Arabidopsis thaliana: one gene and its partner. The protein of the gene in region 1 interacts with the protein of each later gene in a biochemical or structural test. Each region holds a gene or a part of one and is shown on either strand. Other genes may lie near its edges.

Region 1 (5,728 bases):
GAACAAAGATCTTTACCTTGGAACCTTTGGTATGTAAAATCTTCAAACTTGGTCTAGCTAATTTAACAATCATTGTCTGTGGTTAATTAGTTAGTCCTGGTGTTGTTGTTGTAGCAACGGAAGAGGAAGCAGCTGAAGCGTATGACATAGCAGCAATCAAATTCAGAGGAATAAACGCTGTAACTAACTTTGAGATGAACCGTTACGACGTTGAAGCCATCATGAAGAGTGCACTTCCCATCGGTGGTGCAGCTAAACGTCTTAAGCTCTCTTTGGAAGCTGCTGCTTCATCAGAGCAGAAACCAATCCTCGGTCATCATCAACTTCACCATTTCCAGCAACAACAACAACAACAACAGCTTCAGCTTCAGTCATCTCCTAATCACAGTAGCATTAACTTCGCTCTCTGTCCTAATTCAGCAGTTCAGTCTCAACAGATCATTCCTTGTGGAATCCCTTTTGAAGCAGCTGCTCTTTACCACCACCACCAACAACAACAGCAACACCAACAGCAGCAGCAGCAACAGAACTTCTTCCAGCATTTTCCGGCGAATGCAGCTTCTGACTCGACCGGGTCTAACAACAACTCCAACGTTCAGGGAACAATGGGACTTATGGCACCAAATCCGGCTGAGTTCTTCCTCTGGCCTAATCAGTCTTACTAAAACCAATCATATAAGTTGATTGAGTCAAGTTTTTATCGTTATAAGAGACACAACTTCTTGATTCTGGCTAACACATAAGCTGACTAGAAGAATCTTAAAAATCTCACTTTTGTTTTTGATTAACTGTTGTTGTTTAGGCAGGAGTAGTTGGGGGTTGGAAATGTGGAAGAATGTATTAAACCTAAACTCGGTGGAGAAAAATGGTAGTTTTTGGGAATTAGGGGGGATGGTTTCTTTTGTATCTTGTATGTATAAGGCTATCAGCTTATCCGCAGTGTACTCTGTTTCCATTTATGAAAAAATTATCTTCAGAAAGTTCTGTGTTGCTATTTGTTTGATATCTATCTACTTGTGAGCTCATTGGTAACAAATTGACAACTCTACCGAGAGGTTGAGACTAACAAAGTTCAGTAGAAGCAACAGAGAGACACAAGTTGAAGATATTCACAGTTTGGTTGGACAAGAAAAAAAAGCAACCAATGGAGAATAACAAGCAAAACTCAAGTCAAGAAAATAAAAATCTAAAAAGAAAGAGGTTGATAAACAGTTCTTTAAGTTGATGTTATTGCTTCTACTCACTCCATTAAGAGTTGCCTATGGCGGCGGAGTTCGTTGAGGTATGAGGAAGAGGTGTGATCTTGTAGATCACAAGCGTTCACGCTCATTGTTCTTTCACCTGCCTTCTGCTGTAGCTCAGCTGGTCCGTCTTCTCCACGTAACAGCTGCACCAACTGCACAAAGAATTCACATCAAAACCGATACCAAAGATCTGTTTTGGCTCTATGAACATGGGAAGAATAGGTACTATACCCGAGTCATGTCAGGTCGCATTGCGGCAATATGATGTACACACATTGAAGCTGTTAGCATCACTCGTTGCATCTCTGTTGGATTAAACATATTTCCTAGCCGAGGATCCACAATGTCCTCCATGCTATTTTTCTCAAGAAAAGGTTTTGCCTGTATAACCAAATCAATAAGGTAAACAAAAGATCTCAAGCTGAACTTTTGATGAGTCTCAATAAAGAGTCACTGATGCATTTACCCATGCAACAATGCTCTGCCTGCTTGCTGTATCAACAGCTCGGCGACTGGTTATGATCTCTAGAAGCAATACTCCAAAGGCAAACACATCAATCTTCTCATCAACAATGCCGTGCATGAAATACTCTGGAGCTAGATATCTAAAGGGAGAAAAAACCCAATGAAACCTATAGTTTTGATCAGCAAAGCTGTTCATGGATAGTTACAAAGCTTTCTCTCTTTTACCCGAATGTTCCTTCAATGGGGAATACAACATGGTGAGGCCAGTTCTCTGGGAGCCATTTTGCAAGTCCGAAATCTGAAATCTGAATTGAGAAAATGTACAATATGTAAATGGTTCTCAAACCAACCAAATACCAAGAAAATGTTTAGAGATGTTGTCATTTGTCAAGATCATTTACCTGAGCTTCGTAATCGTGGTTGAGCAATATGTTAGAAGCTTTGATGTCACGGTGAATGATCCTTCTTGGACAAGCATTATGAAGATAACTCAGACCATCAGCTATACCTAGAGCCACTTTATACCTTATCTTCCACTCTAGACATTCCTCTGATCCTACAAAGATCAAAGAGACAATATCACAACATTGTAGAAAAAAGTACTAGACACAAGATTTTCAGTAAGAAGGAGACTTTTAAGTATACCAAAAAGCATAGAAGCGAGGCTGCCATAGGGAGCGTACTCAAGAACAAAATGCAAACCGCGATCACTGCTGAAACCGCGAAGCCTAGCTGCGTTTGGGTGGTTTACATGTGCGATTATACCGAGCTCTGAAAGGAAATCGCTCACTCTTTCTTCTTCTTCCTTGGCGTGACTCATCAGCTTCTTAATCGCCACCGTCTCACCATTAATCAAAACCCCTTTGTATACCTCCGCATGTCCTCCCTTACCAATCATGTTCTCTAACAAAAAAACAAAACCAAAACTCAAATTTCTCAATCCAAAATCTATTGAAGAAGGGTTTGCGTTTTTGTGTATACCAGGATTGAAATAATCGGTGGCTACAGCGAGCTCTTCGTAAGTGAAGTTTCTCCAAGAGGGTTTAGCCATAAAGAAGGCTTCACAGGTGAAAGCACTCTCAGAGGGAGTTAGCTTAGGTTGCTTACGACGCAAGTTTTTACGGGTGAGTTCGTAACTTGCAAGAAGAGGAATGACAGAGAATCGTCTCATGGACTTCTTCTTGATAGATTCAATCATTTTGTTCCATTGAAGACCATGGTGAGAAGACGAAACGGTTTTAGTAGTATTTGAAAATGGTGACGATGTTGATGATGATTTATCATCAGAGGAACAAGAGCTGCAACTACTGCTGCTGTTGTCGGAATCTGAAACCATTCCGAGAACACCTCTTGGCGATGATGAATCTTCGAGGCCTAAGTCGTTCCTATGAAGCTCTACCTCTTGATGATTTTTGCTTTCACTGTTCTTGTTATCTGTTAATGTTACAAGGAATACAAAAAGTCAGTTCTATAACATGTCTGCGTAAATTTTCATAAACCCAGAAAATAAATTTGCATCAATGATTTTATTTTTTTCCCCCACTTTCTTAACAAAAAGCAAACAAATTTTATGTTTAGGTTTACCTTCAACAGCCATAGCTCCAGTGGGTTTTTTTTTCTTTTTCTTTCTTTCTTCCTCTAATAAGCCTTTGAATTAAATTTCCATAAAAAAACAGATTCACAGAAAATAAGAAAGGATACAAAACAGAGAGAATTATCGAAAATACAGAGCAGAAGAGAAACAAGAAAACAGAGGTTTAATGAGAAGTTTTGTAGAATTCTTGTTTTGTTTCTTATGAGAAAAAAGTTTGTTATTCTTGGAAGAAATAGAAAGTTAGAAGAAGAGTCAGCTTTTGCTGAGTGGAGATGGATTGGAATCTCTGCTATATTTATACAACTCCACCGTAGCAATTCAACTTTTGTTTTTATTTTTTACTTTCAACTGCAAGTCAAGTCAAGTTTTGTTTTTCTTGTTTTGTTTTTTGTAATTTCTTGTTTCTAAATTAGTAGTCCTATGATTTTAATAATTTTGAGGAAGATGAAAGGATTAGAGATTGTTGCCGTAACTAACGCATTTACGATGTAAAGAACTCAAACGGTTGATATATCTGGCTGGTTTGTGGGCATTTTCGTCATATAAAATAAGACATCACCTTTGCTTGTAATGAATTGAGAGTTAATATTAAAGGGATTTTGTTATGATTATATTTCACTCAAATTCTATTCTCCGCAAAATAGCTAATTCGTGATTCGTGATTAAAAAAGAAAATTAAATAGCGCATGTGATATTAAATAGCTCTTCTAATTTAGCAAACCTTGTTATTTTTTTCTTACATTTTTGAGCTTTTTGTTTACATGTAGAATGAGATTGAAAGTGTCGGAACATTAGGTTTTAGTTAATTTTGGATGACATTTTTTGCTAGTATGATTTAAAATTATTAAAACAACGAAAATTAGTAAAAGTTAAATAAAATTCTATAACCAAGGAATAAAAAATATGGATTTGCACTTATAGAAGTTGACAAAATCATTAGTTAAAAATTCGACAAATTGTGAGTGTGCTGTCTGTTTCTTCTTCTTTATATTTTCAATTTTTTCGTGGCGGCATAAAGAGAGGAAACATATGGCAGACAAATTTGACTACAAAATTAAGCCATCGTATCATTGATATGATTTTTTAATATTCAACTATTACTAGAATATTTGTATTCACAAATACTATCACTTTCGAGCCATAATACTAATACAAAAAAACAAGTTTCTACTACATAATCCCTGTTATTTGAAAGTTAATAACAAGAGCTATCCATTCGTAATGATGGCTACAATTGTTTTGGTTTACGAATAAACTATACTACTATTTTAGTAGTTTTCTTTCTCAACGTAACCATTGTCAATTTTTCATGCGTGACAATTTGGACCCACCTCAAACTTGCACCAATGGCCATATGGGATGCCATAATAAACACAAATCTTACTTTATAATATGAGGCGTGGATAGATCCTTAATTTTCGAGGATTAAAATGACTTTATGAGTTTACCATCACCTAAGGCGTGGAGAAAAAAAAAAGAGTTATCACCCGAAGGCATTAAAATCAACCACCTTTCCGTGAGACAAACCCAAGTGAAATGTTTAGTACTTGTCTATCTCAAAACGCCAAAGTCCAAACTCAATTCATTACATTGAAACTCCATTAGTAACAGTTAGGTTTTGTTTCTCAGACGTATATAGTCCATACGCAAAAGAAAATTCTTATATATACTACTTATAGTTTTCATGGTAACATCATTAAGTAAATTACAAATATAATAATCTACAATGACTCGGTTTTCTACTTATAAAGTTTGTTGTCTGAAGTAAACTAGTTCTAGTAATTTAGAACTAGATAAAAACAAACGATCGCAGTGTAAGTAGGGAAGATTAATTGTGTTAGTTGGTGAACTAAACCCGTTAATATATACTACCACAACCATTAATTTCTATCTTAATTTTCTAAAAAATAATATACGCCCAAAAATTAAATCGCCACCAAACTCACCAATGTGAATTTTCAGTTAGAGAAGTCAGTTCAACCGATTTTCTCAATGGCTCAATGCTATTGACATTTATTCTTCATTATTAATATTATGATTCTAACTCCCAAAGAAGCGTCTGTAGCTCAGTGGATAGAGCGTCTGTTTCCTAAGCAGAAGGTCGTAGGTTCGACCCCTACCTGACGCGTTTATTTTGTATCCTTTTATCAAAAAAAGTTTTATAAGCCCATTAGCCCAGCCCAAAAGAGTCGAGACACCAGAAAAACTGAAAATAAGACCTTGTCATTTTTTAGCACAAGGACCGAGTACAAACAGTGAAACACACACACGCACACACAAGAAACAAGAGTAAGAAAAAGGCTATATTACACACAGCAACAAGGGATCTGCTCAACGACCATGTTGAGCACTTGAAAACGTTACCGTAGCTCCACCAGAGCTTACCGATGTAGTATTCGAAGAGGATACATGATATGTTGCGACA
Region 2 (4,614 bases), on another chromosome or scaffold:
TCTATATTGCATATATGGGCCCAATGTCTCAAGTCTCAACCATGTTTTAAATTTTCAGTACTAAGCAATGCATATGTTTTTGTTAGACACAATTTTTCTTCTTTTTTTGATAAAATGTGAGTTTTTTTTTTTTTTTGAAATGTGATTAATTACCAAAATGGAAACATTGTTACTTGCAAAAATCTTTGGGACAAATAGCTTCTAAGACAATTTGTTTTTTAAAAAGCCTCAGAAACTAATAAACGCAAAGATTACAAATAGAGAACTATTACGAGCTAGGCATGGGAAAACCATTGAGAGAGCAGTCACCGCGGCCTTTGCGGTACCTTCGAGCCAGGAGAGTGTCTCTAATTAATGTGCTCCTGTCGATTTGCTTAAAGACAGAGGCAAATCTGTTATGGAGACTGTTTGTACTTGTCAAACTATGGGCCATCAGTCGACCGCAGCCATTGTTAGACACAATTAACTATGTGCGCCATCTATTATGGAGACTGTTTCCACTTGTCAAACTTTAGCACTATGCCTTTAAAGCTTTAACAAATGTTGAATGACTGAGAAACCGACAAACTTTAGTCTACTACATCTTATCTATATACTAATTACGCAACAAAAAAATAAAAAAAAATTGGATAATGTTTTAAAACATAACATATTTTACTCTTCTTCTATGACAGATGAATTACTACATTCCAAAATAAACAAGTAAAAACTCTTGTTTCGTGGATAAGCATGCACTAGGCAGTCAATTCATTTGGAGTCTCACCAAACCAAGTACCCCATGGGCCCTGGTGGCAAAAATGGTCACTAATCATGATATTTCAAGAGTTGTCATAATGGGCCTTAATTCGCTACTGGGCCTCAAGTGTGAGCCTTCGTGTTATTGTCTTTTCTAGCTTCCAGTTGTGTTAGTGTGTTTGTGCCTTTGTGTTATGGCCCTTATGGCACTCCATATTGTCACTTGAATCACTAATGTAAAGTTTATTCATTTTCAAATAAGTCGCTTTAAATAGAAGCACTAGATTTCATGATCAATCATTATCAAATTTCTTATAAAAAAAATCATAAAGCCTGAAATTCATTTCATGTAAGAATCAGAATGAATGGGTAAAGGTGTTTTTGGTTGAGAGTAGGTAGAAGCGTAGAGCTAACTCTAACCCCTTCTTTAGTTTGGTATGATTGAATATTAGTTCATATAAATATAATTGGTGAAATTTTGATGTGTCCTTGGTCCTTTAGAAGCAAACTGTAATAATGCGACCGTATGATTTGGATAAATCTAATGTGGGACAATTCATGATGTGTCGTATGCTCATTGGTAGGTTGAAAGAGAGTTGAGCACGTTCGTGTAAGATTTTTCGATTCTTATGTCGTAAAGATGAAGAAAACTCTTTAAAATTACAACTATAAAAACAAAGACAAAGACACTCTTGACAAAATTAAACCATATTAATTTGATAAGGGATTTGAGAAAAAGGAATGAAATGGTGCCGTAACACTAAGTCGCACGTTCTTGACGAGAGTCGTCCCAATCCAATGATTAATATTTGGCAATTTCATGCCCTCCCTCCCCATAGTTTGGTCGTTTATTATGCTTTACTCTTAGTTTTTTTTCTTAAAAATTATAATCTTTATTTATTTGCTGTCTTTTTTTTTTATAATTGTCAATTAGGTTAACAACTATGGTCAAATTAGAAAACATTAGTTTTTGTTAAAAGAAAATTAAAAAAAAAATCCATGTTTATTAGTGAATTAGGTTTTTATTTTGGTGGTAGTTTAGCTAATCTCATAAAACAGATAGTAATTTCATAATGTAAAAAGATATTTCTACTATACAGAAAAGGAAAAGAAAAAAAAAAACTCATTACAACGGATAATTTCTCAATTTGTATTCAAATTCAAAATTAAAAGTGCTCAAAATTAGTATTATTTAAAAGAAATACTAAAGTGGGGTGAGTGTAAATGATAAGGTGTTGTTTGGTGTAGCAAATAGCTGGCATAAGGTTGGTATTGAAAAGCTCATCTCAGAATCATCAACGGCCCAAAACACATTGCAAATTAAAGAAAAAGCAAAGATTTTCCTCATTCTTTTGCCATTATTATCTCTCATCGATTTGGCTTGCTACTTTTGAATTTACCCGTGTTCTACTACGATTCGGGATTAGGGTTTTTTCTTGAGTTAGAAAAGATTGTTTCTTGATTCTTGGGAATGGCTGGGATTTGAGGAAGAAGAAGTGCAAAAGGGTTCTTTTTTTGAGTTTGTGAATTTGCTGCGGAGATGAGTGCTTCGAGGTTTATAAAGTGTGTCACCGTCGGCGATGGTGCCGTCGGAAAAACTTGTATGCTGATTTCTTACACAAGCAACACTTTCCCTACGGTAAAGTTTCTTCCTTTTGCTCTCAGTAGTGATCTTGAAGCATTCTTTGAAAATGGGTTTTTGGAGATTATTCATCTTTGTTCTTGAATGTGATTGATTAGCTGGTAAAAATTGTAAAAATCAATTCTTGACATGTTTCTTCAGAACTTTTATTGATGCTTCCATGGATTTAGCTTCTTTGTTATTTATCTTTACCTATGAGCATTGTTCTTCTTTCATTTTGGACTTCATGTTCAATTTGTATGTATTAGTCAAATTTGCAGATATGAGGATCTATAATCTTTTCCATTATTGTGTGTGTTAATGATGATCCACTATTGTGTGTGTTTTAGTTTAACAAACTCTATGACTTGGTTACTGAATATCAGGACTATGTTCCAACTGTTTTCGACAACTTCAGTGCTAATGTGGTTGTAGATGGGAACACGGTGAATCTTGGATTGTGGGATACAGCTGGTAAATAATCCTTTTGAAACTCATCAAATCTGGTTTTCTTGTTTTTTTGTGGTTTCATTTTGACTGATAATTCTTGGGTTTGTGCAGGTCAAGAAGACTATAACAGGTTAAGACCGTTGAGTTACCGTGGTGCCGATGTCTTCATTCTTGCATTCTCGCTTATTAGCAAAGCTAGCTACGAGAATGTAGCCAAGAAGGTTAGCTTTTTGTTGATCTAACGTCTTTCATTTGATAGTAATAACTTTCGTTAAGCTGATTTTGAATTGGTTCCTTCATTTGCTTTTTTTTTTTTTTTTTTCTTTATTTCAGTGGATTCCTGAGCTTAGGCATTATGCCCCTGGTGTTCCTATAATCCTCGTTGGAACGAAACTCGGTATTGACTCTCTTCTTGTCTAAAAACTCTTTCCTTATAATAAGAAAGAGATGAATAATAATTCAAGTTTTGGAATTTGCAGATCTTCGAGATGACAAGCAATTCTTCATAGACCATCCTGGTGCAGTGCCTATTACTACAAACCAGGTACATAACTCCACAATTCTTTAAAACAATAGTGTTTTTTGCTTTGCGAGTTCTTGATCTTTAGTTGTTTGTCTGCAGGGAGAGGAACTAAAGAAACTGATAGGATCACCAATCTACATTGAATGTAGTTCAAAGACTCAGCAGGTATACTACACACATAAATAATATCTCACATGTCTTTTTGTTTGGGATTTTTGTATTTGGTAAGACAGTGAAAATGTTGATTGTTGGGTTTTGCAGAATGTGAAAGCAGTCTTTGACGCAGCCATAAAAGTGGTGCTTCAGCCACCGAAACAGAAGAAGAAGAAAAAGAACAAGAACCGCTGCGTGTTCTTGTGATCGAACATCTCTTAAAACGAAAAAAGGTTTAGGTAACAAAAGAAGCTGAAGGAAAACGAACACCTGCAACATTGTATAGTTGTTGAATCCGGCTTGTTTCGGTCTTTACTCTTCTTTTTGCTGGTGAATCTAATGAGTGAACTGAGGCCAAGAGGAGGATTCTGGGTAAGAGAAGGGGATGTGTTCTTTTCTTGGTGTGTTGTTGTTGTTGTTGTACTTTTGCTATGTAGACTAATCTCTTAATACTATGTTGTCTTTGTTTTTGCTGTTGGGGTCCATTTTGTATTTTCTTTAACAGAAATCTTAATTAATTTTTTAGTGACTTTTTTTAAGCTTCCGTTGATCTTATGGTCTTGTATTGGTATGTAATTAGATTCAGACAACGAAGAACATCTTGAGATAGATCTCTATATACAATAAGATTAGAGACATCGTTGAATTGAGGCATAGTTTCAAAGAATGGTTTACAGAAACGAGGATTCTATACACACAGGTGAGGTGAGTATAAGGAACAAAGAAAATAACAATTACAAAGGTTTTCTCCATTTTGTAATAAGACCGAAAAGAAAACAAACATGTGTAGTGTACACTTCCTTTTCAGAGTTTCCAACATTTCTTTGGAAAATACAGAGAATTCCTCTCGGGATTTGATGAGGCTTGTGTCTCGGATTTAAGTCACAGCTTGATAGGGTCATATTTCTCACCCATCAAACCACCTTTCTGTTTTATGAACTTAATGTAACGCAATGTACTTGTAAAGAAGGGATCTGAGTGGATTGTCGTGTTACCGTTGTCGCTTTGCATCTCATTGTTGATCAATTCTATGAGGCTCTGTATATCAGATGGAGTGATATGTGGATTCCCTTTCTCAAAGAAGTAAATGTACCTGTTGTATATGAAAAAAACATTTTTAGTATTGAGATGC

What was found.
Region 2: the proteins of RBK1 (region 1) and ARAC5 form a complex in vitro, tested with the Arabidopsis thaliana proteins (one study listed by BioGRID).

Annotation. Positions count from the first base shown.
Region 1 is NC_003076.8:3,319,344-3,325,071, forward strand, and holds RBK1 (ROP binding protein kinases 1), read right to left. Parts: upstream 3,568-5,728; 5' UTR 3,307-3,567; coding exon 3,294-3,306; intron 3,144-3,293; coding exon 2,691-3,143; intron 2,613-2,690; coding exon 2,355-2,612; intron 2,266-2,354; coding exon 2,111-2,265; intron 2,015-2,110; coding exon 1,935-2,014; intron 1,850-1,934; coding exon 1,711-1,849; coding exon of another isoform or gene 1,684-1,710; exon of another isoform or gene 1,626-1,683; coding exon 1,476-1,625; intron 1,397-1,475; coding exon 1,241-1,396; 3' UTR 666-1,240; downstream 1-665. Other genes in the region: AIL6 (AINTEGUMENTA-like 6), read left to right, coding at 1-29, 115-665; AT5G10530 (Concanavalin A-like lectin protein kinase family protein), read right to left, coding at 5,635-5,728.
Region 2 is NC_003070.9:28,473,689-28,478,302, forward strand, and holds ARAC5 (RAC-like GTP binding protein 5), read left to right. Parts: upstream 1-1,960; 5' UTR 1,961-2,275; coding exon 2,276-2,374; intron 2,375-2,742; coding exon 2,743-2,830; intron 2,831-2,917; coding exon 2,918-3,027; intron 3,028-3,139; coding exon 3,140-3,203; intron 3,204-3,285; coding exon 3,286-3,350; intron 3,351-3,428; coding exon 3,429-3,494; intron 3,495-3,590; coding exon 3,591-3,689; 3' UTR 3,690-4,114; downstream 4,115-4,614. Other genes in the region: VPS35B (VPS35 homolog B), read right to left, coding at 4,365-4,575. UniProt on the Arabidopsis thaliana protein: Involved in cell polarity control during the actin-dependent tip growth of root hairs, thus regulating root hair length and root hair initiation.